4 linked regions of the Tamandua tetradactyla genome follow. The protein of the gene in region 1 purifies or fractionates together with the protein of each later gene. This does not show direct contact. Links are inferred from orthologs where the notes say so. Each region holds a gene or a part of one and is shown in the gene's direction. Other genes may lie near its edges. The genes, in order: RC3H1, CNOT2, CNOT10 and LARP1.

Region 1 (7,600 bases):
TCAGCACTAACCCCATACAGCAACTGTTAAAAGAGCTGTAAAGGAGATATGAGTGAAGCTTTATGTATAATTATTTTGTAAATCCACGGCTTCTATAGTAAAAACAAACAAACCATGGATCCTTTTCCCAAAAGAATAAGCATGTGTATTTATTTAAACAAGGTTTCATATAATCTCTAAGGTTAATGGTTGCCTTGATCAATGCCAAAATTTTACTATAGTTTTGAAATGACAAGAATATTTTCAAAATCTTTTAGGGTTTCAGTGGTGGGTTTGTATAAGACAATCTGAGGAGAGGGAAAAAACAGTAAAACTTTAGGAGTCAGGAACTTGGCTTCAATCCCAACTATGCCATTAGCAACTTTGCACGACTTTGAGCAAAATTATTTTCCTTGTTTTTGCCTTTGTTCTCCACATCATATAAAATGGAATAGTTGAAAATGCTTGGGCTTTAGTATCAGGTAGATAATGAGTTTGTTCTGTTCTGTCTTGGCTACTTATTTATTAATTGTATGACCTTGAGCAAGTTTTTTGAATGTTATTTTGTTACTCTAAAAATAAGGAAAAAACCTTTGGGTTTTTAAGGATTAAACAAAACATGTTTCATAAAGTTTAGTAAGACTTGTTACTGGTAAAGATCAATGAATGTGAGTTATCTTGAAAAATTAGGGTAGAACTAGATGTTCTTTAAGACACCTTTTACTAATTAAATTTTATGATTCTATTTTAAACACTTTTTGTTACAACAGAATAATTTGGGAAGTTTTTTGTAATAGCATTGACTTAAAATCATGTGGGAAAGCAGTAAGATATTTTATGTCTCTAAGACTGATGTTGACTATATTTCCTGCTTGTTTTCCATATTCCATAGTGCTGGATGTAAAGTAAATACTCAGATACTTGTTGCTTAATTTTAAGATTTCATGAAAGAATACTGTAGGTTAGGATTTTTTAATCTGGAATTTATGAATACCCTAGGGGTCTAGGAATAGATTTTCATAGTTCTATCAACTCTTTGAAATGATATGCAATACTTATAAGCCTTCCCTGGCCATTTAAACTCTAAAACAACCTCCAAATCACTCTCAGTTTCATCACTCTATTTCAGTTCTCTTCAAAACATTTCCATTATCTATAAAATTATATTTTTCTTGCCCACATTTTGTTTACTCAGTGCCTAGTTTTGATAAGATAAGAATAGGCACCAAATCTGTCTTGTCCACCAAGAAACCTCACATCAATTTGGGAATTAAAAGTATTGCATATGATTCCAAAGAGTAGATAGAACTATGAAAATCTATTCCTAGACCCCTAGGGTATTCATAAACTCCAGATTAAAAAATCCTAACCTACAGTATTCTTTGGGTGAATCTGAATGATAAAAGGAGACTCTTCAATCCCAAGTGGGCAGGGACCTAAGATGAAAACAAGCTTCACCTGAGTAATTGGAAAGTAGTAGGTATGAAAGGAACAAGCATTAGAAGAAGGTGGAGAGATACAAATTTCAGGTTGTAACATTAAAGGCTTTGTAAACTAGAGTAAGAAATCTGGATTTTATTTTAAATATAATGGAATTTATTTCAGGGTGTTTAACTAGAGAATGCTGAGAAAAGGAGGTCCAAGACAGAACTTGTGACATCTCCAGCATTTAGAAGTATAAGAAATCAGAAATAAAGCCAGTAAAGTAAGTGGCTTTGGCACTTTCAAGAAGGAGGGAGGTGTTCATCTACTTTATATCTTACTGTACAGATAACTAAGATTAGACCAATGACCTGACCATTAGATTTGGCAAAAAGTTTGCCAATAACTATTGTGACATTGGTTTATATAAACGCTAGTACACAGATAACAGTAGTAACTACCTTTTATAGTTTTGCCCTGTGTAAGGCATTTAGCATATGTGGCATATAGCTCTATAAATAGTAAAACATATTAAGGCCATTCTAGTAAAAAGATGGGAACAGTTAGCTCTCCTTTGCAAAGAGTCGGATTCTTCAAAAACATTAATACAGACAGTCCTAATCTATAGAAAGTTTCCTGTGGCTTATTCTTTATTGACTTAATGAGCTTCAGCATGCATTTTCTGACTTAATATCCTTCTGTCATTCAGATAATTATTCTTCTAAAATACTTCTCAGTTCTTTATTTTGAAATATGCTACAATTCCAGACACAACTGTAGCATTTTACTATGCCAATTAAGTGATTAGATATTGTACTTTGTTAGCATTTCAGATGACAGTTTCAATATATTAAATAGAAATAATATAATATAATCCTGCTTGTACCTACTCATAATCTACGTTTAGATGCATTTTGTTATAAGTATTTATAATGCTTTTTTTATATTTCTTTATTTAAAAAAAACAGTATGGAACGCTTCACGAATTTGCGTGTCATCCTTGCGCAGGGGCCATGCTAATCTTCTCTGTATCGTTCCAATTTTAGTATATGTGCTGCCGAAGGGAGCACTTATAATGCTTTTTTATAGAAATAAAAATTTGGGCAATTTCTTAAACTTTCTTTTTATTGCAAAGGCTATCTGAACACATATGCAGATAACTTTAATTTTAGATCCAGAACCTGAAATTTTGGAACTGTTTACTAGGTTATTAAAAGTTTTTCCATTGTCCATTCATCTGATCACATGCTTTGCAAAAGCCTAAACAAAGCTGAGGCTTACTAGACTCTCAACTCCATGAAGGTAGATAACCGTGACTGTCATTTCACTGTATCCACCACAATTCACACAGTCTGGCACATTGTAGTACTTATTAAATATTTGTTGATAAATATTGTGGATGGCTAAAATGTTTTGCATACCTGAAGGAAACTGTTCTCTCATCAATATTTGACTTACATTCAAGTTTAAATTATTTCAATAAAACATGAATTAAATGTAATGTTTGAAGAACAAAACCTGAAGATGATTTACTTTTCTAGTTAATTACAGCTTGAATAAGATTTCATCTTTGTAAGCAGACTTTCCTGAGCGTATTCATATCATTAGTAATTTGTAATGCTGTAGTACTTTATTATCGCTCTGGGCATCATTTCTCATTTTTAAAGCGCTATAGTCATAGTAGGTTTAGTAGGCATTGTAAAGAAAATTTCTGATAGATACAAGTGATTTAGCTTTTATCCACCACTGAAAATGGAAGGTAGAAAAATGGAACCTTCTTGACCAAAGGGGGAAGATAAATGAAGCAAATTAAAGTTTCTGTGGCTGAGAGATTTCAAATAGAGTCAAGAGGTCATTCTAGAAGTTATTCTGACGTAGTATATAGATATCCCTTTTGAGTTTTTGTATTGGAGTAGCTAGAGGGAAATACCTGAAACTGTTGAACTGTAATCCAATATCTTTGATTCTTGAAGAGGATTGAGTAACTAAAGAGCTTTTAAGGTATGAACATGTGAGGGTGAAAACTTGTGACTGACATTCCCTTTATCCAGTGAATAGACAGATGAGTAAGAAACAAATGAAAAAGACGAATAAGTAAACAATAGGGAGGGTATGGGATGTTTTGGTGTTCTTTTTTACTTTTATTTTTATTCTTTATTGTTTTTGGAGTAATGAAAATGTTCCAAAAATTGATCATAATGATGAATGCACAGGTTTGTGATGATACTATGGAGCACTGATTATACACATTAGATGATCGTATCTCAATTAAAAAAATCATTGAAGAAAAAAATCTTAAGTGTTTACCAAAAAAAGAAAGAATAATAAAGTGAAATTTGATTATACATGGGTTCTAGATAATTGGATTCTAACCAATTATAATTATTCTACCATTTTTAAATTTGGGGGTTAAAAAATCTTTTGAAATAAATAATTTTAACTGTGTTCTAATAGCATATTTCAGCAACAGGTATAGGCTGTACCGGGGGCTTTTAAAAGAGGCATTGTTCAACCAGTTTGTAAACTCTTAAAAATACCTTTAGAAAGTCTCTTTTTATCTTATTACCCCCACCTAATTTGATAAATATTTTAGGGGAGTTTTTATGCTGGGCCAGTTTAAAAAGAGCAGCAACTCTTTATTGTAAGATACAAAAGGTGCACATAAATGTAGAGATTGATGAATTTCCACAGCTGAACACACCCATGTAATCAGTATCTAGACCAAGAAACAGAACATTATTAGACCCCTAGAAAAGACTAATTTTTAAATATTAAAAAAAAAAACACCGAAACTTCTATAAACTGAGCAAATTAGGTCCTGGATGACTTTATTACTAAGTATCACTTTAGGCAAGTTTTTTCATCTATTCTCGTGTCTAAAATGAGGGGATTAGACTCAAATTATTATGACTCTAATTCTGTGAAAGTGAAAAAGAATATATTATGATAGAAATACAGTATGTGAAGGTTATAGGGTAATATTGGACTTGTGATCTTTATCAAAAGTTTATTGAAAGAAAGGCATTCTCAGTTGTTTTTCTTTATTTTTCAGGTTATATTTCACACTATGTGCTGACTGTATCTACAGAAGATATTTAAAAAAAAAAGACAAACTTTTCAAAGATTTTGATTCCAGTGGAATCTTTGCTTTAGATCTTTTGGTGTATGTTAGTGAATTGTAACTCCAGAAGCAATGCCTGTACAAGCTCCACAATGGACGGATTTCCTTTCCTGCCCAATTTGCACTCAGACTTTCGACGAAACAATTCGAAAGCCTATCAGTTTGGGTTGTGGCCATACTGTCTGCAAGATGTGCCTGAATAAACTACACCGCAAGGCTTGCCCATTTGACCAGACCACTATCAATACAGACATTGAGCTCCTCCCAGTGAACTCGGCACTACTACAGCTGGTGGGTGCTCAGGTAAGATGGGTGTCATAACACTTTTTTAGTTCTGTGTGTGTGTGTGTGTGTGTTTCTCCTGAGAGAAATCTTTTGAATTGCAATTGGGTAAAATAATCTTCTGTTTAAGTAGATGTAAATAGATATAAATCCTTTATTTCCGTGATATTAGGAGCATATTTTGTTCAGTGTTTTTCATGATATACATTGTATCTGGTGATCAGACTTTTCAATAATCCTAACTATTCAGATCACTAGAGAAATCTAAGAGGTAGGTAGTAAGAATCACTTCTCTTTGAGAAACATGATTCACAAAATTACTGTACTTTACTCATTCAGAGAGGTGAAGTTGCTTCAAACATATTTACTTGATAGACACAGAAATGAAAGATAAGGAAGAGACAAAAAACAGTAAAACACAAATTTTGGGAACCGTTTATTTAACAGTTAAAAAAGAATATCCCTAAGTATCTAAATATAAAAGTCTAGTAATTCTGAAGGTAATAATTTGAATGCAGGTTTTTGAAAGCCAAATACACTTCACTTAGATAATCCTCACTACTAAATTTGAACAGTGTAATTATGAAGTCCCATATATTTTCCATAAATTATTTTCTGGATAAACAAGCTAGAACTTTGGATCTAGCCACACTGATCTTTCTAGAGTACTCTTCCCGTAAGCTTCTGAAAAGCTGGTGAAGTTGATATTGTATATGCTTGGAGGTAATGAGAATTGTTGGAGAATAGCTTATTCAGAGGGTTTTTTATTTACAAGCCTGTTTTGATGTTGTCATCAGTAATGCTACAAAAAATATTTATAAAATGGGAAAGTGTGATTGATTCTTAATATTTCTCCATCCATACTTAATTATTCATTTCATAAGCATTTTCTCATTTTTATTTGAAAATTTTTCCTGTATCACACTTCGGAAGTATTTGTTGGGGATAGCTGTTTTGGAAATGTAACATTCTTAATAACAATAAGGCTTACTTTCTTCCTTAAAGTTGTCTCAGAATGAACTGATTTTTTTTCCAAAATAAAAACTTTTCATAGCTTACTGAAATAGCTAATGTCAATGAAATTTGAGGATTAGAAATGTTAATGCCTGCATAGCCTCTATGCTGTACATTCCTTGCGATCAAAGATAATGTAATGTGATCAGTGTATCCCCAGACTCTTAACATGGTATTTAGAATGTAGCAAAAACTGAGTGTGGATGACTTCAAATATGTCTGATTTAGGAGTTGACCTCCATATGACTAAATCTAGAACGTCAATTCAACCAATTTTATCCAAATCTTCCAGTAGTGTGTAAAAGCCAGGTGGGGTAGGGGGCAAAATTTTCTCAGGAAAAGAAATTTTCTCAGTAGGAAAAGAATGAAACGTCATATTGCTAAACAGTACATGTAGTTACAGTGTTTATTTTAACAAATTGAATTTATATGTAATTTTTCTAGTAGGCCATCTTTTGAAAAGTCTCTTCTGAGGATTCATGGGTTAGGTTAGTAGGATGGGAAAATGTTTCACTTCATATTTGAAATATATTTAAAACCTTAGTTCATTTCTTTTTCTTTCTTTGTGTCCTTTTTTTTAATTGCACAAGCAGTATAAAGAAAATGAATATTCTCCTTCTGTTTCCAAATTAGCCAGTGTTACCACATTTATCTTTCCAGATAAATAAAATGTGTAGCTTCGTTTCTGTAGTACTTTGCTCATACTCTTTTTCCTTCAGCTTACTTTTTGTCCACTGAATTTATCCAGGAAGGCTTTCCATGTCAGCATTACCTTCTTTATTTGGCAGCAGCCTATTCCAAAGTATGAATTTGTTGTGGTTTAAGTAAATATTCCTCTTTTATTATATTTTGATTGTGAGTTTTCTTTTTCCTATTACAAGCAGTATTGCAGTGAGATTTCTTAATAAAAATTTTTTTTAAGATTAGTATCTAAAAATAAAATTTTGGGGTAAAAGAGTATACATATTTTAAATTGTAAAAGATATTGCAAATAGCCCTCATAAAAAGATGTTCCACTCTAAATAACCATCAATAACTTATGAGAGCCCATTGCCTGACATTAAATATTCATTTTTAAAAATGTCTTTCCCTCCACTATAATGAGTGAAAATGTCTTATTTTGCTTTTCTCTTTTATTTTTACTTTGTGTCATCACGTGTTTTCACATATATCTATTAGATGCTTGTCTTTTGTTATTGATTTGTTGTTCTTTATATTTCTAAATTTTATCTTTTTGGTTTTTTTATATCCCAGTTTGTTTATTTTGTTGTCTTCTATATTACTTGAAATCAACTTTTTCTCTTAGAGAACACATTTGAACATTGAGTTTTTTATAACCTTTTTTATTGTGAAATGTATATACAAAAAAGCAATAAATTTCAAAGTGCACTTTAACGAGCAGTTATAGAACAAATTTCAAATTTGGTATGGGATACAGTTCTACAATTCCAGGTTTTTCCTTCTAGCTGCTCCTAGACACTGGAGAGTAAAAAGAAATACCAATATAATGATTCGGTAGTCCTACTCATTTGTTAAATCTTATTCTCTCTTCTAACTCCTCCTTCTCCTTTGGTCCTTCCCTTAATCTTGAGAGATAGATAATTGGGTTGTGCCCATTTTAATTTTTTTTTTTTTTTTTTTGCATTGAAAGGGGTTATTGATAATATGGGATTGGGGCATGGAGCTGGCTCATGTTCTTGGAGAGACTGGCACCTTTGGGTTTCAGGACTTATCCATCTGAAGATTTTAGGTTTCTGAAAAGTAAACGTAGTGCTTGCAGCT
Region 2 (7,971 bases), on another chromosome or scaffold:
AAAACAGAGAAGCAAATGGCAGGTAGAAAAAAAAATTGCACAAGCAAAAGCCCTGAAACAGTGGTTAAGATTAGGTTCCACTGAAGACAAGAGACCCAAAAACCTGGCTATGGTGGCTTGGTGTTATGTACTCCAGAAAACTATATTCTTAAACTTAACCTATTCTTGTAGGTGTGAACCCTTGTAAAAAGTACCTTTTGATGAGTTAAGGGGTGGTTCAACTGAATCAGGATGGGTCTTAATCCTGTTACTGAGGGCCTTATAGGGAAGATCACAGAGAGAAAGTCACAGGGAGTGGCCAAACAGAGAAGAAACCAGGAGAAAACGCCAGGTGCAGTGCCTAGTGACAGAAAAGCTAAGGACTAAGGATTGCCAGCAGCCAGCCCCAGAATGCCCAGTCTTCTGGGAGAAAGCACTGCCTTGATGACTTCAAAATCAAGACTTTTATTCTTAAAAATACAAGCAATAAATATCCATTGTTTAAGCAAACCCATTGCACGTTTTTTGCTTTAGCAGCCAGGAAACTAAAAACCTGGCTTTAATAGAAGTTTATTTTTTTCACATCAAAATCTGGATGTAAGGTGTGCAGAGCTAGTATAGTGCTCTGATGCACAAAGTCCTCAAGGTTCCAGGTCTACCAGTTTAAGGTACTACCATCCCTAGGATGGATGAATTTGCATATGGCCATACATGGAAACTAGAATTACAGGCAATCACATCTTCATTTCAGGGTGCAAAATATACGAAGAGGAAAAGAAAACAAGGGCTAAAGGTGTGCACCGGATATATTTTTAAGGATGGTTTTGAAAGGGTGCTACATGACACTTCTGCTTATATTCCATTGGCCAGAACCATCTCATGGCTACAAGGAAAGATGGAAATACAGTCTTCATTCTGGACTATATCCATTACCATGAAACAAATGGAGCAATTTCAGGGAACTAAAAGTCTCTGCTACAGATTGGAAAGTGCTTAGTACCAGACAGAAATAAAAAGGAGGCAATGGAAAGGCAGGAGAACAAGATGAAGTTGGAGTGGTAGGTAGAAGCCATATCATGCAGACTTGAGGGCCATGGTAAAGAATTTGGATTTTATTCTATGTGCACAGGAAAGCCACTGAAGGGTTCTAATGAAAAGAGTGACATAACCTAATGAAACTGATTACTCTGGCTATGTAGAGAATGATTTGAAGGAATTAGGGGCAAAGTGGAAGCAAAGAGATAGTGTGGATATTGCAGTGGTCCAGCAAGAAATGACAGTGGCTCAGACAGGATGATGGGATTGGAGGTGAAGAAAAGTAGCTAAATTCAGAATATATTTGTAATTAAGAGCTGATACTGGCTGATGAGGTCAGAGTTTGAATGTGAGGGACAAGAGGAATCACAGAAGATTCCTAGTTTTACACTAGAGTGTTTTATGGAAATGGGAAAGACCAGGTGAGAAAAAGGTTTAGGGAATAAACAAGAGGAAGTCAAATGTTCCCGTTTTTTTTTGCATGAGCAGGCACCAGGAAACGAACTGGTTTTCCGGCATGGCAGGTGAGAACTCTACCTGCTGAGCCACTGTGGCCCACCCAAATGTTCTGTTTTAGACATATTAAATTGAGATATCTGTTCTTTCTATCCCTTGTTATAGTGAAATTTTCAGTATTGGTCCACCCCTTTTAAAATATGGAAGACTCTTTTCTACAATAGTTATATAAGGTACATGTTCTAGTTTGCTAGCTGCTGGGATGCAATATGAAAGAAACAGAATGGCTTTTAAGAAGGGGAATTTAATAAGCTGCAAGTTTATAATTCTAAGGCCAAAGAGATGTCCCAATTAAAACAAATCTATAGAAATGTCCAATCTAAGGTATCCAGGACAAGATACCTTGACTCAAGAAGGCTGATGAAGTTCAGGGTTTCTCTCTCAAGCGAGAAGGCACATGGCGAACACAGTCAGGGTTTCTCTCTCAGCTGGAAGGGCACATGGCAAACATGGTGTCATCTGCTAGCTTTCTCTCCTGGCTTCCAGGTTCATGAAGCTCCCCAGGAGGCGTTTTCCTTCTCCATCTCCAAAGGTCGTTGGCTCATGGATTCTCTACTTCGTAGTGCTGCAGCATCTTCTGCTCTCTCCAAATCCTCTTCATTCTCCAAAATGTTTTCTCTTTTATAGGACTCCAGAAACTTCTCAAGACCCACCCAAATGGGTGGAAACATGTCATCATCTAATTCAGCTTAACAACCACTCTTGATTAAACTACATCTCTAAGGAGATAATCTGATTAGTTTCAAACATACAGTATTGAATAGGGATTATTCTACCTTTATGAAATGGGATATACATACACCCTTTCAAACCAGCACAGTAGATAAGGTATTTTTTTCCCTCAGCCTACATCAGTAGTTTTCCTATAAAATGTAGAGGAATCTACCTTACATGTATTTTGAAAATATACAAAATACATATCTATAAGTACAGACTATTTTTCAAGTACAAGAAAAATCTATTAAAGAGAACAGAAGGGCAAATTTGTTAAATATTAGCAATAAACTTGTTAACGCAGAAGGACAATTTTTTATATGTACCATTTACTGACTGCTTACTAGCAAACCATAAATATACTAAGCCCTTAACAAATGTTGACACATTTAATACTTAGAATCACCCTCTAAGGTATGCATTAAAGACATTTTACAAATTTGTAATCAATCGGACACAAGCAATAGGACAATTAAAAAACTCTTCTTCACCAAGGCTAAAAGTGAAGTCATCCTAAATAAACAGTATTAAGTAAGCAATAGTATCAGTGTATTTTCTCCTAACAGTCCTAACCTAGATACTTAAATTCATGAAAATGTTTGCTGTTCCATTTACCTCTTCCAGTAAACAACCCAAGGTAACAAAATCCTCAAATCAGACCTGTCCTGTTTGGAAATGATTTCTCCAATTTTACTAACGTTTATACTATTTAAGACTTGTGCTCTTCTAAGTAAATATAGGAACAGTGAGAACAAGGTACACCATTTGGCCTTAACAGAGTTCTATATGTAAAACAAATTAATAGCTTAACATAGCAAACAATACTCGGTGTTTACTATATGGTTAGAAGCATGCGCCCAATTTTCATCATCTATCTTATGATTCCAAATTACTAATAGTTATACTTTCAAATTGTTAATAGCGAGATTAGAAGGCTCAGTAATGCTGAGTACTATCATATACATATACATACTTGATATGGAGGCATATCCAGTCAGCTTACCGTGGTAGAGGCCAACATCAGAGGAAGAGAAACCAGAAGAGGCCGGAAGGAACTGCTGGGGAAAACGGGAGGAAAGTAAGAACATAAAGAAATGTGTGTTGCTCCTCTCTGAATATTCCTGAAGCAAAAAGCACAACGAAGCAGAATATTTAATGAAAGGAAAGACTAACTGGGCAAAACACTCTCTGGCTACAACAGCATCATTTGGAGGTTAAATAAATTCATACAGTATCTACTGAAAAATCAAAATACCTTGCACTTCAAAGCATGACAATTACCTTTATTTTATAGTAAGCTTATTTTTCTTGTTATTTTTTACTGACAGAGAATCCTTTACTGTTCAATGACAAATTTTAAATTGGATTATAAAGGAATAAAGAGAGAAGATTTACTATTGCAAAGAAAGCTCACTTTGAGCTACGATTATTTTTCTGGAAAGCAGACTAATCCCCTGCAGTTCTCACCAAAGCCACTATAATTTCAAATGCCTTGCTGATGGCCCGGCCAATCACTCAAGTTTACATGGGAAGTGGGGGCTAGAGAAGCAGTAAATACCAAGCTCAGCTAGCGCAAACTCACAAAACAGTGCTTTAAAACAAGCAAACAAACAAAAAACTGCTCCCGCCCAAACTCCTCCCCCTAGATTTAGAAAAAAATAAAAATAAAAATAAAGGAAGGGCAGTGAGTAGAAAATAGCAATGGTTTCGGCAAAGTGGAACTCACTTCTCAGGAGGTGACGGTGACGTGCTGCCGGTGCCTGGAAGTGCGTGCAAAAGCACCGGAGGCTGCGGGGGCTGAGGAAGGACATGTGGACAGCGATCAGGTTTGCTTCAGGTGACGGGAGACAGGAAGGGCACCACTCAAGGTGGACGTGGGAGAACGAGGAATCCTACCCAAACACAAACACGCTCCGCATCCCCAGAGAGGGCTGACTGACGCCACCTCACCATTCCTCGAACCAAGGACCACGGCCCAGTCCGAAGCAACCAGGCCCTAGGGGGACAGTAGTGGCCGCAGTGGCTCCCGCTCGTCGTAACCGCCGCGGACGAGTGACAAGCTACCCAGTGTGTGGGGACAGAAACAGCGGAGGCCACAGAGAGAGCGGTGGAGAAATGAAGAGCCTTTTCTCAAACCCTCTCATGCCTACGGGAAGCTGTCTGCCCACCGCCTAAACCCGATCCATTCGGCAAACGTAGCTCCCACCTCCAGCCGCCGCCGCCGCCGCTTTGAGGGAAGCCGGAGCACGGGGGTCACGGCGGGGGTCAGAGGGTAAAGGTCTTGCTCCCAGCAGCCTCTGCGGTGGATACGTCGCCATCTTGGATCCGCGGGACAAGAAAATTCATGCGGTGAGTTTTTGGCAAATTTTCGGAAGTCTGGCAGCGGGGCACGCGGCGGGGACGGCGGATTCGGGGCCCTCGCAAGGCGGGGGAATGCCTCGGGGCCGGTCCGGTCGCGCCCGGGGTCCGCGGGCAGCGTCCCGGCCTGCAGCTTCCCTTTGCTTTTGTCTCGGCTCCAATCGAGAGGGAGAGCGGAGCGGGCGGGGAGGGGGGGTGGCGGTGGTGGAGGGAGGGAGGGGGTGTGTATGGTGGGGGGGTGGATGGGACGTAAAGCGTCGCTCTGCTTGGGCCGCTGCAGCGGCAGCTTGGGAGCTGAAGGCTGGGTCCCGCCCGCGGATGGCGGGGCTTCCCCTAGATTTGGCTTCCCCAGGCTCCCGCCGCCGCCGCGCTGCTTCCTGGGGAAGAACAGACGGCGGCTGAGGACCCCGGGCCCATTTTAAACAGCGCTACCACCTTCCTAGTAGCTGCTGCGGTCTCCGGATCCTCACATTATCTCGCTACATGCATATCACCCGCAACTTGTGTGTGTTTCTATATGTGTGTGTGTTTGGTGTAAGGTGGGGGGCACTGGATTGGCTAACGGGCCTCAGGCGTCTCCAGACCTTGGGATACCGAAGGCTATAGTTGGTGGAGGGGGAGTGCAACTGTGATGCTGCTTCTCCCACCGCACCCGGAGGGTGAATCTTCGGTGGTGGTGTAGGAACTGAGTCCGATTGGTCCTTGGGCGGCGGAGGAACCCGAGACGCTTCTGTCTGTGAAGTTGCTAGCCTTAGGTTTTCACTTCCGCCGGAGCCTCTTTACCTCTTGCTGCTTTGGCTCTAACTTAAAAGTTTCACGGAAGAAATGAGTGGGCTAGCAGAGGCCCTCGTAGTTCTTACTTGATCTCTGTGGTCCGTCTAGGAGATAGCCTCTAATTCTTGCTAACTATGGTCCATAGCGAATGCGAATTATAATTTTTCTTTAACGAAAGCGTTTTCTAGATTTTAGAATTTGTATTTATTTCAGAACTGTGGGTACGGTGTTCTTACCATAACAGTGTTACATACGGGTACCACTCTCGGAAGGAACCTAAACATCAATTTCGAATCCTAGGATGCAGCTTCACTTTTTAACATCCAGAAGACGCGGTGCAAACACATTCTGTTTCATTTTCATATCTTGGTCAGTTGATCCTACTCCATTCGTAATCATCTGAACGATTCCTAATAATTCGATACCCTGATATCAAGCCTTAAGATTTTTGGCTAATGGTAGGAAGTACTGAGCTTACAAAAGCTGTTCATGAGGGAGGCCAGACTTGAATTTGGATTTCAGAGTTGAACGTATTTCCTGTAATGTTTAATATTAGCAATTTCTAGCGCTCTAATCACAAGTGCAACTCATAATTTGCCTTTGACGCAACATAAGCGGGAATAATAAAGTATGAGGTGGGCGGGCGAGATAGAAATTTGAAAGTTATCTACTTACATATCAATTTTTTGTTGCGTTGTTTGGGAATACTTGGTATATTCTACAACACTTCTTTTGCAATTTTGGAAAGTGGCTTTTCCCAGATATATAAAGGACTGATTGAGAATCACCGCACTGAAGTAGTTAACGTTTCAAAATCTACATTCACATCTCTTTCATTTGCAATGTTTCTTAATCATTAGTAAACTTTGTAGGTTGAATTCCTCTGAAGTTTGCAGTTCTTTTGTAATATTAAATGCTAAAGGAAAAGGAAAGTAAAATGCTTTAAAAAGACAAAATTCCTTACACTCCATCCATTTTTTACTTGACTTTGTGATATGCTCAGTTAATTTTAAAAAGGTGGTCTCCCCACATTTTTTTCCTGAGAGTCTTTCATTTTAGTGATTTCTGTGACTGCTTTGCTATTTTGACAGGAAGTGAGAAACTGTATTTTACATTTTTTGCATCCTAAATAATCCTGCATCAACATAAGTAAGTTAATTAAAAAACCATTTGTTGGCAGATTTTGTTCAGTAAGTATATAGTAGAGATTTCTGTGGCCTAATCTGATACTGTTAGGGAATGAGAGTTGCCTGTATATTTAACTAACCAAAGAATGAAACTTTTTTTTAATTTTCAATTTCTATAACACTTCCGTTGCAAATTAAATTAATATGACGGAAAAATGAAGGCCTAATGTATAAGTGTGAGTAACTGTATCCCTCTCTGTTTGAGTACCTAATCTTGAAGCTAAAATAAGACTCAGAATGACATGCTTACCTAAAAGAATGAGAAACTTGTTTTAATACTTTATAACTTTAGATGTTTGATTTACTCTTTTCATTTTTCAGAGATGCTTTAGTAGTTATAACCTGGAAATTCTCTTTGTTCAAAAGTAAATCAATACTTAAGATTTATGGTGACATTTCATTAGAAATGCTTCTGATCCATTTGTTTTGTTTTTTCTCTCTTCAGTAGACATTGACATTCCAAGTAATTGTATTTTGAAAAACAATTGTAACATTTTTCAGATGCTGTGGGAAGTTAGTTTTGCCCTTTTTAGTGACAAATTTGCTTAAGATTTTCTGATAATACAGAAAAATTTTAAAACGTTTCCGTTGTATATATGAAATAATGAATAGATATTAATAGATTAGTAGAAACTTAGTTTATAATTTTTTTGTTCTTTGAAAAGCAGTGTTAAATGATAATAGTATTTTTTAATGTCTTAAAAAATATTTAACTGTAGAAAACTTAGTTATGATCATATATTTAAAAGCAAATTTTATCACATGTGCCTGCCTGAATAGGCATTTGAAGACAACTTATGCAAACATTGATACAGTCTTCCTTAGAAGAAAGATACTACTGAATATTTATGATTTTATTTGTTACCTGAAACTCTAGTGGATTTTGTAACACAAAGAAACCGAAATACTAGGTAGGGAAGTTTTAGAGGCAGAGTCAATCTGAGTTGCACTGTAATATTTGAATAGAATTATATACAATATTAATAATTGCACATCAAGGGGCCTACCTAGTGGTATGATTGTAGTCATTCAGATTGATAATACAGGTGATTGTTCTTACTAGGGATGATTTCTACCTGTGGTACTTATAGGAATTGAATTCATTATGATATTTTGGAAAGAGCTCTACTAAGTTGATGTTTATTAAAAGGAAAAGTACTGCAAAAACAATGAAATTAAGGTTTTACATTTCAAAAATTATTTTTGAATTTATACCTTGGTTTTGTTTACTGAAACTTTCCTCAATATAAATATATGTTTTCTGTTTCTTGTATTAGTTTTTCTAATAAAATCCTTGTATTTCTCTTGGAAAAACTCATCTCTTATCACAAACATGCTATACTGATATAGCTTGTTGATTTATATACTATTGTCTATTTTATTAGGGATGACCTGGATTTAGAATTCT
Region 3 (7,342 bases), on another chromosome or scaffold:
AAGGGCAAAGACACAAACGGACGTTTGCACACCAATGTTTATCGCAGCATTATTTACAGTTGCAAAGAGATGGAAACAGCCAAAATGTCCATCAACAGATGAGATAGAGGGAATATATGAAAAACCCACAGCTAATATCATCCTCAATGGGGAAAAATTGAAAACTTTCCCCCTAAGATCAGGAACAAGACAAGGATGTCCACTATCACCACTATTATTCAACATTGTGTTGGAGGTTCTAGCCAAAGCAATTAGACAAGAAAAAGAAATACAAGGCATCAAAATTGGAAAGGAAGAAGTAAAACTATCACTGTTTGCAGACGATATGATACTATACGTCGAAAACCCGGAAAAATCCACAACAAAACCACTAGAGCTAATAAATGAGTACAGCAAAGTAGCAGGTTACAAGATCAACATTCAAAAACCTGTAGCATTTGTATACACTAGTAATGAACAAGCTGAGGGGGAAATCAAGAAACGAATCCCATTTACAATTGCAACTAAAGAATAAAATACCTAGGAATAAATTTAACTAAAGAGACAAAAAACCTATATAAAGAAAACTACAAAAAACTGTTAAAAGAAATCACAGAAGACCTAAATAGATGGAAGGGCATACCATGTTCATGGATTGGAAGACTAAATATAGTTAAGATGTCAATCCTACCTAAATTGATTTACAGATTCAATGCAATACCAATCAAAATCCCAACAACTTATTTTTCAGAAATAGAGAAACCAATAAGCAAATTTATCTGGAAGGGCAGGGTGCCCAGAATTGCTAAAAACATCTTGAGGAAAAAAAACGAAGCTGGAGGTCTCGCGCTGCCTGACTTTAAGGCATATGATGAAGCCACAGTGGTCAAAACAGCATGGTATTGGCATAAAGATAGATATATCGACCAATGGAATCGAATAGAGTGCTCAGATATAGACCCTCTCATCTATGGACATTTGATCTTTGATAAGGCAGTCAAGCCAACTCACCTGGGACAGAACAGTCTCTTCAATAAATGGTTCCTAGAGAACTGGATATCCATATGCAAAAGAATGAAAGAAGACCCATATCTCACACCCTATACAAAAGTTAACTCAAAATGGATCAAAGATCTAAATGTTAGGTCCATACCATAAAACAGTTAGAGGAAAATGTAGGGAGATATCTTATGAAACTTACAATTGGAGGTGGTTTTATGGACCTTAAACCTAAAGCAAGAGCACTGAAGAAGGAAATAAATAAATGGGAGCTCCTCAAAATTAAACACTTTTGTGCATCAAAGAACTTCATCAAGAAAGTAGAAAGACAGCCTACACAATGGGAGACAATATTTGGAAATGACATATCAGATAAAGGTCTAGTATCCAGAATTTATAAAGAGATTGTTCATCTCAACAACAAAAAGACAGCCAACCCAATTACAAAATGGGAAAAAGACTTGAACAGACACCTCTCAGAAGAGGAAATACAAATGGCCAAAAGGCACATGAAGAGATGCTCAATGTCCCTGACCATTAGAGAAATGCAAATCAAAACCACAATGAGATATCATCTCACACCCACCAGAATGGCCATTATCAACAAAACAGAAAATGACAAGTGCTGGAGAGGATGCGGAGAAAGAGGCACACTTATCCACTGTTGGTGGGAATGTCAAATGGTGCAACCACTGTGGAAGGCAGTTTGGCGGTTCCTCAAAAAGCTGAATATAGAATTGCCATACGACCCAGCAATACCATTGCTAGGTATCTACTCAAAGGACTTAAGGGCAAAGACACAAACGGACATTTGCACACCAATGTTTATAGCAGCGTTATTTACAATTGCAAAGAGATGGAAACAGCCAAAATGTCCATCAACAGAAGAGTGGCTAAACAAACTGTGGTATATACATACGATGGAATATTATGCAGCTTTTAGACAGGATAAACTTATGAAGCATGTAATAACATGGATGGACCTAGAGAACATTATGCTGAGTGAGTCTAGCCAAAAACTAAAGGACAAATACTGTATGGTCCCACTTATGTGAACCGACATACGAGAATAAACTTGGAATATGTCACTGGTAACAGCGACCAGCAGGAGTTAGAAACAGGGTAAGATAATGGGTAATTGGAGCTGAAGGGATACAGAGTGTGCAACAGTACTAGATACAAAAACTCAAAAATGGACAGCACAATAATACCTAATTGTAAAGTAATCATGTTAAAACACTGAATGAAGCTGCATCTGAGCTATAGGTTTTTGTTTTTTTGTTTTTTTTACTATTATTATTTTATTTTTTTCTCTATATTAACATTCTATATCTTTTTCTGTTGTGTTGCTAGTTCTTCTAAACCGATGCAAATGTATTAAGAAACGATGATCATGCATCTATGTGATGATGTTAAGAATTACTGATTGCATATGTAGAATGGTATGATTTCTAAATGTTGGGTTAATTTCTTTTTTTCCGTTAATTAATAAAAAAAAAAAGACGAGTAGCTAAACAAAGTGTGGTATATACATACGATGGAATATTATACAGCTTTAAGACAGAATAAAGTTGTGAAGTATGTAACGACATGGATGGACCTTGAGAACATTATGTTGGTGAGACTAGCCAAAAACAAAAGGACAAATACTTATGGTCTCACTGATATGAACTGACATTAGTGAATAAACTTGGAATATTTCGTTGGTAACAGAGACCATCAGGAGATAGAAATAGGGTAAGATATTGGGTAATTGGAGCTGAAGGGATACAGACTGTGCACAGGACTGAATACAAAACTCAGAAATTGAGGGCACTATACTACCTAACTGTAATACAATTATGTTAAAACACTGAATGAAGCTGCATGTGAGAATGATAGAGGGAGGAGGGCTGGGGACATAAATGAAATCAGAAAGAACGATAGATGTTAAAGATTGAGATGGCATAATCTAGAAATGCCTAGAGTGTATAATAATATTGATGAAATGTACAAATTTTAAAATGTTTTTGCTTGAGGAAGAACAAAGGAATGTCATTATTGCACAGTGCTGCAAATACATGGTAATTAATATTTTAAAATGTCACCTTATATGTGAGACTAAAGCAAAAAAATGTTTTTTACAAAATTAAAAAAAAAATTAGGGAATGAACAACCCCAAATATATCTCTCCCTTTAGTCTCACACAGAAGTTGAAGTTTTAAAATATGGACAATATCATCGTTTACCCAGTCTTCTGATATACCTTAGTCCTATCCCGATCAGCTTCATTAGTATCTCTACTTGATGTCTGATCAATTTTTCAAATTTTTAAACAGTTCTTGTTGGTGGTACTGCTGACTTTAATAGCTTCAGAGCTCTAACTTTCAGGGAAAGACCGTGTTATATACAAACAGCTCAGTATCTCAGAATTTAGAATTAACAGTTACACTTCCTGAATATATGTGACAGCTGTAACAGCTTACAGTCTAGGACCTTGTACAGTAAGTTCCAACCTGATAACCCAGGCTTTCTACTTTAGTTCACAGAATTTTTATATTATAGTTAGTTGATAAGATTGAGGCATGATAATATTTGTCTTTTTGTCCCTGAATTTCATTCAGCGTACAGCTCTTCAGGTTCATTCACCTAGTTGCATGCCTCACAACTTCATTCCTTCTTGCTGCTACTCAGTAGTCTATTGTATGTGTACACCATAATTTCCCCTTCCATTCCTCATTCATTGTTCCCTTAGGCCACCTCTGTTCATTATGGATCACAAACAGTGCTGCCAGAAACACCAGTGTGCACATGTCCATTTGTGTCCCACACTCAGTTCCTCCAGGTATATATTAAGCAATGGAGTTTGAGGATCATATGGCAAACCTACCCCTAGCCTCCTGTAGAACCACCACACTGCCCTCCAAGCGGCTGCACCTCTCATTCCCTACCGATAGTGAATAAGTATATCTCTTTCTCTGCGTTTTCTCTGGCACTTGTTTCTCTCTGTTCATTTTTAAATAGTTTTATTCACACATCATACAATCCAACCTAAGTGAATAGATATGCCTTCACCACCATACTCTATCAGAAGACATTTCCTTTTCTTCCACAAAGAATCCATACCCCTTTCCCAATCCTCCCACCTGTTGACATTTAGTTTTGGCATCCTTGTTATTTAAAACTTTTGTCCACGAAGGCCTGGTAAGTGTTTTCTGCATTAGATTTCCTTAGGCGTTAACATTTCTTTTTTCTTTGGGAACTTTTTTTCACTCAAACATCATTGGAGCTGTATTTTGACAAGCACAGCTTGGAGGGAAGCTCATGTTCCAATCAGATATGTATTGTTAACATTCTGTTTTGGAATGTGTTAAGCTTTCAGTTAACTGGCTTCTTTCAGTTTTCAAAAAGCAGTGAGTGCATTTCTCTTCTACTTAGTTAAAACATAAAGGGAATTATTTGGTTAGAAATGAAGTCTGTTGGCTTAAAGAGTGTCAGAGTTTGTGGATCAAAGAGCTCTGTACGCCGAGAAAGTCAGCCATGTTCTTTAGGTCATAGAGGAAGAAAAGTCAAGCTTATGGATGAACAGTCCTTTACTCTTTCGGTTGGCAGTGGGACAAACAAAGACATATTGTGGAATTATGTGCAGATTCTATCTGGTAAGAACAGTTTAAAAACTGATTACAGAAATAATGTCTAATCCTTGCAGAAAACTTGAAAAGTGCAGAAAGATAAAAGGAAAGTAAAGATAGAAATCCCATTAAAGTCTATTTTAAAAAAACAAAATTTTCATCCTGCAGTAAAAGAATTTAGGTAAAACCATAGTTGGAGAATATGTAAAAAGATTTTTTATTGAGCTCAGATCTCTGAAATGTATGTTCTTTTCTTTTCTAGAGAGTATTAGACTTTTACAATTCCTAGGGGAATAATGAAAGCAGTGCCTACGTGAGCCACTATACTTCAACTTCTTGGTGAATTACTGGGTATTTCCTTCTGTCCTTTATTTATGTCATTATCTGACAATGGGCATATTTTGGAAGAAGCTGTAGAGATAACTTGAAGGCATACTAAGAATTTTGGGCATTTGATTTAAACTGATTATGCAAGTTCTTATGAGGGAAGATAAATTTTTTTAATTAGTTTCCTGTTTAGATCTTAAGAAACAAAAAAGTATTAATTTTCATTGTTAACACTTTATTATAATTTTATGTTTAGCTGAGGATTTTGCTTTCAACCTAAGATCATTATCTTGCTTTCTGAGATCCTGAAACTCTGTGTCATATTTTTACTGATTTTAAAGTAATTGTTTCTTACAGTTTATTGTCCACATGAAAGTTTTGCCAAAGGACTAGTGTGTAGATAGTTGGTAGTTGTGCAATTAAACTCGTTACTGGCTTTCAATAGAAAAAAAGTGTTCAACATTGTCTTTTTAAATTGTTCGTTAAACTATCAGTTTTTCCTCCTTCCCTTTAGTAGTGAATTCTTAGTGTTTATTTGACTATGCTGAGATGGAAATGGAATACTGATTTATCTGCTAACTTTAATTAGCAGAAATAAACATTTCTAATTTAAAAAAAAGCCTTTTGTAGGGCAGATCTTAAGGCTTAGATAAGTTCTCTTAAGTAGAAGTTATATATTTAGTATAGTGATGATTCTCAAAAGGGTTTCTGATCTTCAAGGAGTTTCATAGGGCCTAAAAAACTGTTCCATAATCAAGCCACTTTAAATTAATTTGTTAATTTGTATGTTTAAAGTGCAGAAGTCAGTACATTAAAAAACATAACTGCAAGAATCCTTATTTCTGGCAAAAGAAAAGGGGGGAGAGAATTAATGTTTATTTAGCATTTCCAATAAAGGGCAGGTAGATAGCCAATGAAAGACTAGACTAAAGATGTGATTTCAAAGCTTGTGCTCTTAATTATATCATGTTGCCTTCTTTAGAAAAGGAAGTTGGAAATCTTTAGTGACTTCTCACAAGTGCCAGGCAAGTGTTTCCCAAACTTAACTTGCTGAGAGTGTTGGTTCTTTGAGATGCTTCTGGAATACAGGTTTATAAATAGTTATGAAAAAATGCCATTAGCATACATACAGTGTGATGAATTCTCATACACCAACCACACCCATGTAATCAGCACTCAAATTAAGAACCAAACCATTACTAGTACCCCAGAAGCCCTCTGCACGCATCTTTTGGTCACTAGCCACCCGAAGATAAATACTCGCCTAATTTCTAAACTCATTTATATTAATTTTGAGCAGATATTCTTTAAAGAGTAATCCATGTTTGTTATGATAATTTAAACAAACATTCAATACATTGTTTTAGTCAGTGGTTTGGATTCTTAGACTTTTATACCAACAGCACAAGCAACAAAAGAAAAAAAAATTGGATTACATCAAAATTAAAAACTTTGCATCAAAGGATATCATCAAGAAAGTGAAAAGGCAACCTACAGAATGGGAGAAAATATTTAGAAACCATATATCTAATAAGGGTTTAATATCCAGAATATATATAAAGAACTCTTAAAACTCAACAGCAACAGCAAAGACAATACAACTTAAAAATGAGCAAAGGACATGAATAGACAGTTCTCCAAAGAAGATGTGCAAATGGCCAATAAACACATGAAAAGATGCTCAACATCATTAATCATTAGGGAAATGCAAATCAAAACTGCAGTGATATGCTGCTTCACACCCACTGGGATGGATTTTTTTTTTTTTTTTTAGTAGAAAACAGCAATTGTCAGTGAAGATATAGAGAAATTGGAACCCTTGTACCTTGTTGGTGGAAATGTAAAATGGTACAACTATTGTGGAAAACAGTTAGGCAATTCAAAATGTTAAACAGAGAACTACAAAATGACCTGACAATCTCACTTCTAGATATATACCCCCAAAAATAGAAAGCAGGGACTCACAACAGATATTTGTACACTGATATTCATAGAGACATTATTCACAAATGTAGAAAGATGGAAGCAACCCAAGTTCCCGTCAACCAATGAAAGGATAAACAAAATACATACAGTAGGACATTATATAACCATAAAAAGAGATGAAGTTCTGATCTTTACTACAGTGTTAACCTTGAAGACCTATTGAGTGACAGAAGCCCGGCACAAAAGAACAAATGTTGTATGATTTTACTTATGTCAAATAATTTGAATATGCAAACTTTTAGAGACAGAAATTAGAGGTTACCAGTAGATTAGATTAGAGGTCAACCAATGTATGTTGATTGGGGAATGGGGGGTTAATGCTTAAAGGGTATAGAATGTCTGTCTGGGTGACAGGAAAGTTTAGGTGGTGGATGGAGATGATGATAGTGCAACATTGAATGTAATTAACACCATTGAGTTGTATATTTACAGGTGGGTCT
Region 4 (7,709 bases), on another chromosome or scaffold:
ATGAAAGATTATTAAAGTAGTACCATTAACTATATTAGGTGTATTTTTCCCCATATATCACCTTATTATCAACACTTTGTGTTAGTGTCCTACATTAGTTATAATTCATAAAATAATATTCTTATAATTGTACTATTAACTAGAGTCCATTATCTACAACAGGGTCCACTGTGTTACACAGTCATATGTTTTATCTTTTACTTTTATTGTAGTAACATAGATGACCTAAAGTTTCCCCTTTTAACCACACTGACATCTTTACTTCAGTGTTGTTAATTACACTCACTGTGATGTGCTATCATCACCACCATCCATTACCAAAACTTTACAATCAACCCAAATGAAATTTTGAACAAATTAAGTAAATCCCCATTCTGTACCCCAATCCATCCCCCAGTAACCTATATTCTAGATTTTAACTCTGAGTTTGCTTATATATAGTTAGTTTATATTAGTGAGACCATACAATATTTGTCCATTTGTGTCTGGCTTATTTTACTCAGCATAATGTCCTGAAGGTTCATCCTGTTGTCACATGCATCAGGACTTCATTCCTTTTTATGACTGGGTAATATTCCCTTGTATATAAAGACTACTTTCTGATTATCCATTCATCAGTTAATGGGCACTTGGGTTGCTTCCATCTTTTGGCAACTGTGAATAATGCCCTTATGAACATTGGTGTGCAAATGTGCTTGAGTCCCTACTTTCAATTTTTCTGGGTATATACCTAGTAGCACCGTTGCTGAATCCTGTGATGTATTTTAAGCTCTGGGCACAAGCTAGGCACCATCCATTATCAAAACCTTACAATCAACCCAAATAGAAATTTTGAACACCTTCTGCTTAAAGCAGATCTTGTTTGATCTCTTTTATCTGGCCCAAGGTCACATATTGCTTAATTATTTTAAATAACCCTCAGAGTTTACTTCTGGAGAGACAGGGTTCAACTTTTTTCATATCTTCCCCAGGCCTGAGTATTTAATAAGCTTCCCATAAACACTTGTGGATATGGCAATGGAGGGAAGGGAGGCAGGGGGAAGTGTGTGGTATGGTAGGTAACAGCAAGGCCTAAGAGGTTAGGTGAAAAAGGTTACCTTCTTTTATGATAGCAGCTCCAGGGCCTACCACAGTGCCTGGCACATAGTAGGAGCTCAGTAGATATTTGCGGAAAGAATTAAGGCCTATTTCATTGTGTTAGAGTGACAATTAAATGAGAAATGAACATTGAATATTTCTCATAGAACATAAATGTACTAATTGCTCAATAAAAGTAGCTGCTCTACTTCTTTGGGTAGTATTTATATCTAGAAATAAATATATGGATATAGAATGCCATCATGGGACAGGAATCAAACGATCAATTAACAACAAATTCCAATTCCATCATTTTATGAAGGAAAAACTACCAGATTTAGTATCATGTGACTTGGGTGTGAGACCTAGCTCTGCCATAAACTTGTTCCTTGGCTAAGGAACTTCACTTAACTTCAATTTCCTGCAAAACAGAGAATGAATATCATTAAGATTCCTTCTACTAGTTCTAACAGCCTCTAAATCTAAGATGTAGTCTCATGCAGGTCTCTTACTATCTCTGGTCCCAGTTTACCCACCTGTAAAATGGCACAGTCTCCCTTTACTTTCTACAAGCAGGGCCTGGTGGTGATGTTTGGATACTACTCTGACTGCTGGGTGACATGAACCCATTACTCGTCCACATAAACCTTGGTCCTCTCACAAGTTGTATGAGGGTACATTTCCCCTCTACCTCCAGTTACAGAAATACAGAAAAGAAGATCAACAATGATGATTTTGTCCTTTATTACAAAGTCTGAAGAGCATCAAATGTGAATAACTTTTTAAAGGAATATTTATCAATGAATAAAATTTAAAAAGTGCATTCCAGTGGCAATGCACAATAATTTACCCTCTGATTAAGGGTATATATGATGCAATTAAGAAGAATTCATTGAGATCCCTTTAATCATTATTTTCCTCGGTACCTCTTTTTGAAGTACTGGCCTTAATCTATATAATTTACACAGCACTTTCGTTAATGTTGTCTCACTTGTTTCCTCACAAAAGTCAAGAGGGTGATGCAAGTCAGACATTTTTTTATCCACATTTTTCCACCAAGAAAGGGTACCCAGGGAGGTATACAGCTGGCCAGTGCTGAGGCTGAGTTCTGGAAAAGCTGGGACCAGACATCAGATTGCCTAGGTATCCCCACCAGCACTTGCCTACAAGAGCCCCACTACCAGTCTTGTGTGGTGGGGCAGTTCCAAGAGTCTTTTCCAATACATTCTCCAGCAGATTACGCATTCTAATCCTTGTTTAGGAGGTGACTACCATTCCAGGCTGTCATGTCTTGAGTAGGTAGGATCAAGACAGCTGAACCACCCTCAGAATGCATAGGCTAGAACTTCACTAAGTGAAGAGTGGGGGCATCTGGTGCAGTGACACCCAGGGGTCTTGTTACACATACAGATTCTGGGTCCAAACCCAGACCATGCCTGATTCCAAAGACTTTGGAATCTATTTTCAGGAAAGTCTTATCACCCACACTAGAGTAGCCCATCTATTTTTAGTTAAATATTTTTATTGATACATCTTCATACACATACATTCCATTAAGTGGTATACAATCAATGGCTCACGATATCATCACATAGTCGTGTATTCATCATGATCATTTTTAGAACATTTGCATCATTCCAAAAAAAGAAAAAGGAAAAAGAAAAAACTAATACCTCCCATACCCCTTACCTCTCCGTTTCATTGACCACTAGTATTTCCATCTACCCGTTCATTTTACCCCTTATCACCTACTCTTTCTTATCCATATTTTTTTACTCATCTGTCCATATGCTGGATAAAAGGAGCTTTAGACACCAGGCTTTCACAATCACACAGTCACATTGTAAAAGTTATATCTTTATACAGTCGTCTTCAAGAATCAAGGCTACTGGAACACGGCTTAACAGTTTCAGGTACTTCCCTCCACCCACCCCAATATACCATCAACTAAAAAGAGGTATCTATATAATGCTTAAGAATGATCTCCAAGATAACCTCTCCACTGTGTTTGAAATTTCTCAGCCACAGAAACTATTTTGTCTCATTTCTCTCTTCCCTCTTTTGGTCAAGGAGGCTTTCTCAGTCCCATGATGCTGGGTCCGGTTCATCCCAGGAGTTCTCTTCCATGTTGCCAGGGATATTTACACCCCTGGAAGTCATGCCCCAGGTAGCGGGGGGAATAGCCCATCTATTTTAGCTATTACTGAGGTTGACTGTCTTCACAGATACTATATGAGAACTTTTTGTATCACTTAAGTTTGTTTACTGTCTCTTTCCCCACCTTAGAATGTAAGCTCCATGAGGGCAGGGACATTATTAACCTGATTGATTGCCAAACCCGTTTCCTGCTCTATGCAGGCTCCACAGTGGGATATCAGTAAATATTATGGAATTGAATGTGCACTAAAGTTTGAAACCACAGTCATAGACCAGTTCTTTGTTCTACAATGGAGAATCTAAGACCCACGTAGAGGTAAACGACTGTCAGAGTTGGTAAAGGAGGTGGTTCTGGCCAGGATAAAATCTCAGATCTCGGGGTCCCAATCAGGCGTTGGTTCAACTCTGCCCAAATCATTACTTTAAAAAAAAAAACAACCGAAATCCACTTGAAAGAAAAGACATTTCCTGCTCATAAAGAATCAGTTTTAGGGGGCCTAGCAGGGGTGGAGGCTGTTAGTATTCCGCTCCCACTTCCTAGGAGCCCGCTGCCCTCACGAGTTAAGGGCCACCTTCCGGGCCCCAAGTCGAACCCGTCCCAGGAGACGAGTCCAGGACTGGGTCCGTTGGGGAGGAGCCGAGCGCGCTCCGCGGAGCTGAGGGCGGCTCGCCCAAGGTCACCCAGGCAGGTCTGGAGAGACTAGGCTCGAAGGGCACCGGGAAGGAGGCCGCGTCTTCAGGCGGATGCGGACCCCTCTCCAGCTGATCCTGGAGGGCGGGGAGTGGTGGTGGTGGTGGTTGTGCCCTTAATGGCTCCTTCTCAGGATTCCGGCATCTAGTTTAGAGAGAGATCAGGCCCGGACGGCCGCGTGGCCCGTCCCCATGTGCTCCACCTGCGGCTGCTCTCACGCGCTGGCCCTTTAAGACACCTCCCCCTTTTTCACCCTCATGTTTCCTGCCCCCATACCGCCCTCCCTGCCGAATTGCATCAGGCACGTGCTCGCCCCCGTCCAGTCTGAGCACCCCCCGCCCCAAAGCCCGGGAGGTGCTCAGAGGAATCTGAGGCGAGGGGAGGGGCGAGGGGCGGGGCCGCGAAGCCGTGCGTGCGCGTTCCCGCTACCTCCGCCTGCCCGCCGCCAAGCGCCAGCCTCGGCGGGCGCGCCCCCGTAGCTCCATCCCCGCCCCTTGCCCGCCTCGTCTCGAGGCGCGCGCCCGCCCGCCGCCTGCCGCGGATCGCGTGGTCTGTTCGGCTCGCCGCGCCTCTCCCCCGTCCGTCCATATTGCTGCAGCCCCCGAGCCGGGAAGCCCGGGCCGCCCCGGGGGCGGGGGGGAGGGAGGGACAGGACGAGAAGCCTGCCGGGTTCGGGGTGGGGGCGCCTTACGAGGAACGGGCGGGGGGGGACGCGCGCCGAGGAGGCCTGGACCGCAGAGTGGGGGGCCCTCCTCCCCCCACCCCCCCCGCCCCGCCAGCAGGCCTCGGATCTACGGCGGCTGCATCCGACCCGGAGGGTGCCGGCACCTAGCGTGAGCCCCGACACTTCTCTGCAGGGACTGGGGCCCAGCGTCCCGAAGAAAGGCGTCGCGGGCGCTCTGCGAGCCAAGTTCGAGGCGGGGGAGGCGGCCTCGGGCGCGCCCGGCTTCTCCGGGGGGGCGGGCGCGCAGATGGCCACTCAGGTGGAGCCGCTGCTGCCGGGGGGAGCCCCGCTCTTGCAGGCCGAAGAGCACGGGGGGCTGGTGAGGAAGAAGCCGCCGCCGCAGCAGCCCGAGGGCAAGGGCGAGCCCGGGGTGAACGACGTCGGAGGGGGGGAGTCGGACGGCGGAGCCCGGAGACCCCGGCCGCCCTGCGCCAAGCCGCACAAGGAGGGCACTGGGCAGCAGGAGCGCGAGAGCCCGCGACCGCCTCAGCCGCCCGGCGCCGAGGGTCCGGCCGTCAGCGACGGGGAGGAGGGCGGCGGCGAGCTGGGCGCTAGCGGAGGAGCGGGCGGCGGCGGGCGCCGAGACTTCGTGGAGGCCCCTCCGCCCAAGGTGAACCCGTGGACTAAGAACGCGTTGCCGCCAGCCCTGGCCACCGTGAACGGACAGTCCCCGCCAGGTGGGTCTCCCTGTCTGTTATCCTGGGTCCGGGTGGCCTCTTCCGGGGATATGGGCGTCCCCTCCCCCAGCGGCCTTCAGGGCCCCGGGGTCCGCCGCGGATCGTGGTGACTCGGTGATTTTTAAAAATTGCCTCCTGGCCCGTTCGGGTGGCCGTGCCCTTCCCCCACCACGCACTGGGGAACCTACCCTGCCAGAGGGCTCGGCCTCCGGGAAGCCACGGCCACCGCCTGGGCGGCAGCGGTTAGTGGGCAACGGCGTGGTCCAGGCCTACTGCGCCGGGAGAGGGTGGGCGCTGGTTTCGGTGAACAGGGCTCTCTGCTCCACCGCGTGTTGGTGTAAGAGACCGTTTCTAGTTTAAATCTCCCCTTCCTCGAGAAGCCCCTCATCCTTCCACCTCACCCTCCCCGTTTTGGTAGCGTTGCAACAGTCCCCATGTTGTAAATGTTTAATGAGTCCATGTCATGAGCAGCAAAGCGCCTGGCGATGAGTTCATACCAACCACAAGGTCTCGGGATTTAAAAGTTAACAAATATTGCTCTCGAGTAGATGATATTAGGCTGTCGAATCGCCATCTGGAGACGGGTTAAGGGGTCAGCTACAGGGAGAATGGGGAGAGGAGGAAACCCAACGTGTCATTGAATTCGGTGATTTCTCTCCCGGATCTCTGGGGTCTTCCGTCTTGAGAGGGAACCCGACGGCAACTGGGGGTCGGGGGGATTCTGTTAGGGGGTTGGCGGAAAATGTGAGGCGAGTGAGGGGGCATGTGGAGACACGAGGGGTGTGTGGCGGCGGGGGAGGGAGTGGCCGGGCTGGGCGGGCGGTGACAGTTGGGCCTCTGCGTTGGGCGCCCGGCGCGGAGCTCGGGATGAAAGCTGGTGCGGACGGCTGGCGCACCGCGGCCCTTAGTGTGCGTGTGCGCGAGTGTGATTGCGCGTCCCCCATTCCCGGCATTCCTCCGCAGCTGGGACAACGTGGGGCCTCCCCGCGCGGGGAGCTGCATGTGACCACAGACCTGCGCTCCCTCAGCCATCCTTACCTCCCCATCCCTTTTTTTTTGTTTTGTTTTGTTGTGCTTTGGACCCGGTCCTTTAAAGGGGGGCGGGATTTACAGGAAATCCCAGCAGGGCCGTGTCAGGGTAGGGAGAGAACAAGAGCAGTGCAGAATATGGAGTCTTTTCTTGGTCTCCGTTTGCCCGGAATTGGTCTTCCACTTGGAGGGGGTACTCTTACCCCTTCGGGTGCGTGAGGTCACGGTGGATCTCTCATTGGTTTTGGATCCTCTGACGTGGGCCAGTGTTAAAACCCCGCTTTTAGTTAGAATGTTGGCTTGTAGCCATAGGCCTAGTGCTTTTTCAGAACTACCCTTCTGCAGTCCCTGGTTGAGGCTGACTGGTCTAAAACCATCAAAATGGGAATGTGGAAGGGGGAGAGTTTAATGCTTTCACGTTAAAGGGAGTAAAATCACATTCTTAGTCCTAAGGAAACCACAATAGCTAATACTGAAAACGGCATGTTGCGATTTTTATTTCTTTTAAGGTTGCTTCCTTTGGCGGAGGGGACTTTTTACTAATAGTGCCTCAGACCGTGTTCTCTTCCTGCTGCCCCCCACTTCTCCCCTTTCCATTCGAGAACCCTCTTATGCAAAGAGCAGTGCTGAAACCTCCATTTTCTTGCAAATACCTCCCTGATCCACCCACAAAGGGAGGGAAAGCAACTTTAAAACACACTTTGGTCCTTCCCTCTCTTTAAACTCAAAGGGGTATAATCATCCCCAGGAGAGAACACTCCTCAGAAGTTTAAATGGGGCTTCTTACCCTGGCTACTGCAGCTTAGCTAATAGTGAACCTGCCTTGTGGGTTTTAAATCAGCCATGACATCAGGTGGTATTGGGTGCCTGAGTTGGCATTTTGTGCAAGTCCAGGGGCCCTTCATAGGGTGCGTCACTGGGTTATTGATCGTGGGAAGAAGACAGCTTGGCTGGCATGTCTCCTTGCTCTCTGAACGGAGAAGTAGACTTGTCTTAAGTACTTAAAGCAAAAATCTGAGTGAAAGGAAATTTGCCCTGTTACTGTCTTTCTGGAAGCTTAAGGGTAGAGGGTGTCAACTCATTAATTTGAACGTTTGGAGTAGTCTTTGATAGATAACTCAGAATAAATCCAGTAACTTCTTTGTTTTGGCCTGTTAAGGCCTAGATGCTTTTTGAGTGCAAAGTCTTGGAATTGGATAGTCTGTCTGCTGGTTAGGTGGTCGCCCTTTCTCTAGAGTGTCTGGTGCTTTAAGGCTCTTTTCTAACCCTGATTTTATTTGCAGCCTGGACAAGTTTAAATGTGACACCTGTGGAGTGGCTGTGTGGTCTTGTGAATTTTTGTTTTTTGCGGTGC

What was found.
Region 2: the proteins of RC3H1 (region 1) and CNOT2 purify together in Homo sapiens (affinity purification with mass spectrometry, with the first as the bait; 3 studies listed by BioGRID). This does not show direct contact. The link is inferred for Tamandua tetradactyla from reciprocal best matches to the Homo sapiens genes RC3H1 and CNOT2.
Region 3: the proteins of RC3H1 (region 1) and CNOT10 purify together in Homo sapiens (affinity purification with mass spectrometry, with the first as the bait; 3 studies listed by BioGRID). This does not show direct contact. The link is inferred for Tamandua tetradactyla from reciprocal best matches to the Homo sapiens genes RC3H1 and CNOT10.
Region 4: the proteins of RC3H1 (region 1) and LARP1 purify together in Homo sapiens (affinity purification with mass spectrometry, with the first as the bait; 3 studies listed by BioGRID). This does not show direct contact. The link is inferred for Tamandua tetradactyla from reciprocal best matches to the Homo sapiens genes RC3H1 and LARP1.

Annotation. Positions count from the first base shown.
Region 1 is NC_135330.1:27,979,726-27,987,325, reverse strand, and holds the start of RC3H1 (roquin-1), read left to right. Parts: upstream 1-4,592; 5' UTR 4,593-4,594; coding exon 4,595-4,825; intron 4,826-7,600. UniProt on the Homo sapiens protein: Post-transcriptional repressor of mRNAs containing a conserved stem loop motif, called constitutive decay element (CDE), which is often located in the 3'-UTR, as in HMGXB3, ICOS, IER3, NFKBID, NFKBIZ, PPP1R10, TNF, TNFRSF4 and in many more mRNAs.
Region 2 is NC_135333.1:138,798,876-138,806,846, forward strand, and holds the start of CNOT2 (CCR4-NOT transcription complex subunit 2), read left to right. Parts: upstream 1-4,952; 5' UTR 4,953-5,677; coding exon 5,678-5,745; intron 5,746-7,971. UniProt on the Homo sapiens protein: Component of the CCR4-NOT complex which is one of the major cellular mRNA deadenylases and is linked to various cellular processes including bulk mRNA degradation, miRNA-mediated repression, translational repression during translational initiation and general transcription regulation.
Region 3 is NC_135341.1:55,329,601-55,336,942, reverse strand, and holds the start of CNOT10 (CCR4-NOT transcription complex subunit 10), read left to right. Parts: upstream 1-4,329; 5' UTR 4,330-4,426; coding exon 4,427-4,616; intron 4,617-7,342. UniProt on the Homo sapiens protein: Component of the CCR4-NOT complex which is one of the major cellular mRNA deadenylases and is linked to various cellular processes including bulk mRNA degradation, miRNA-mediated repression, translational repression during translational initiation and general transcription regulation.
Region 4 is NC_135346.1:35,716,959-35,724,667, forward strand, and holds the start of LARP1 (la-related protein 1), read left to right. Parts: upstream 1-4,698; 5' UTR 4,699-4,896; coding exon 4,897-5,326; intron 5,327-7,709. UniProt on the Homo sapiens protein: RNA-binding protein that regulates the translation of specific target mRNA species downstream of the mTORC1 complex, in function of growth signals and nutrient availability.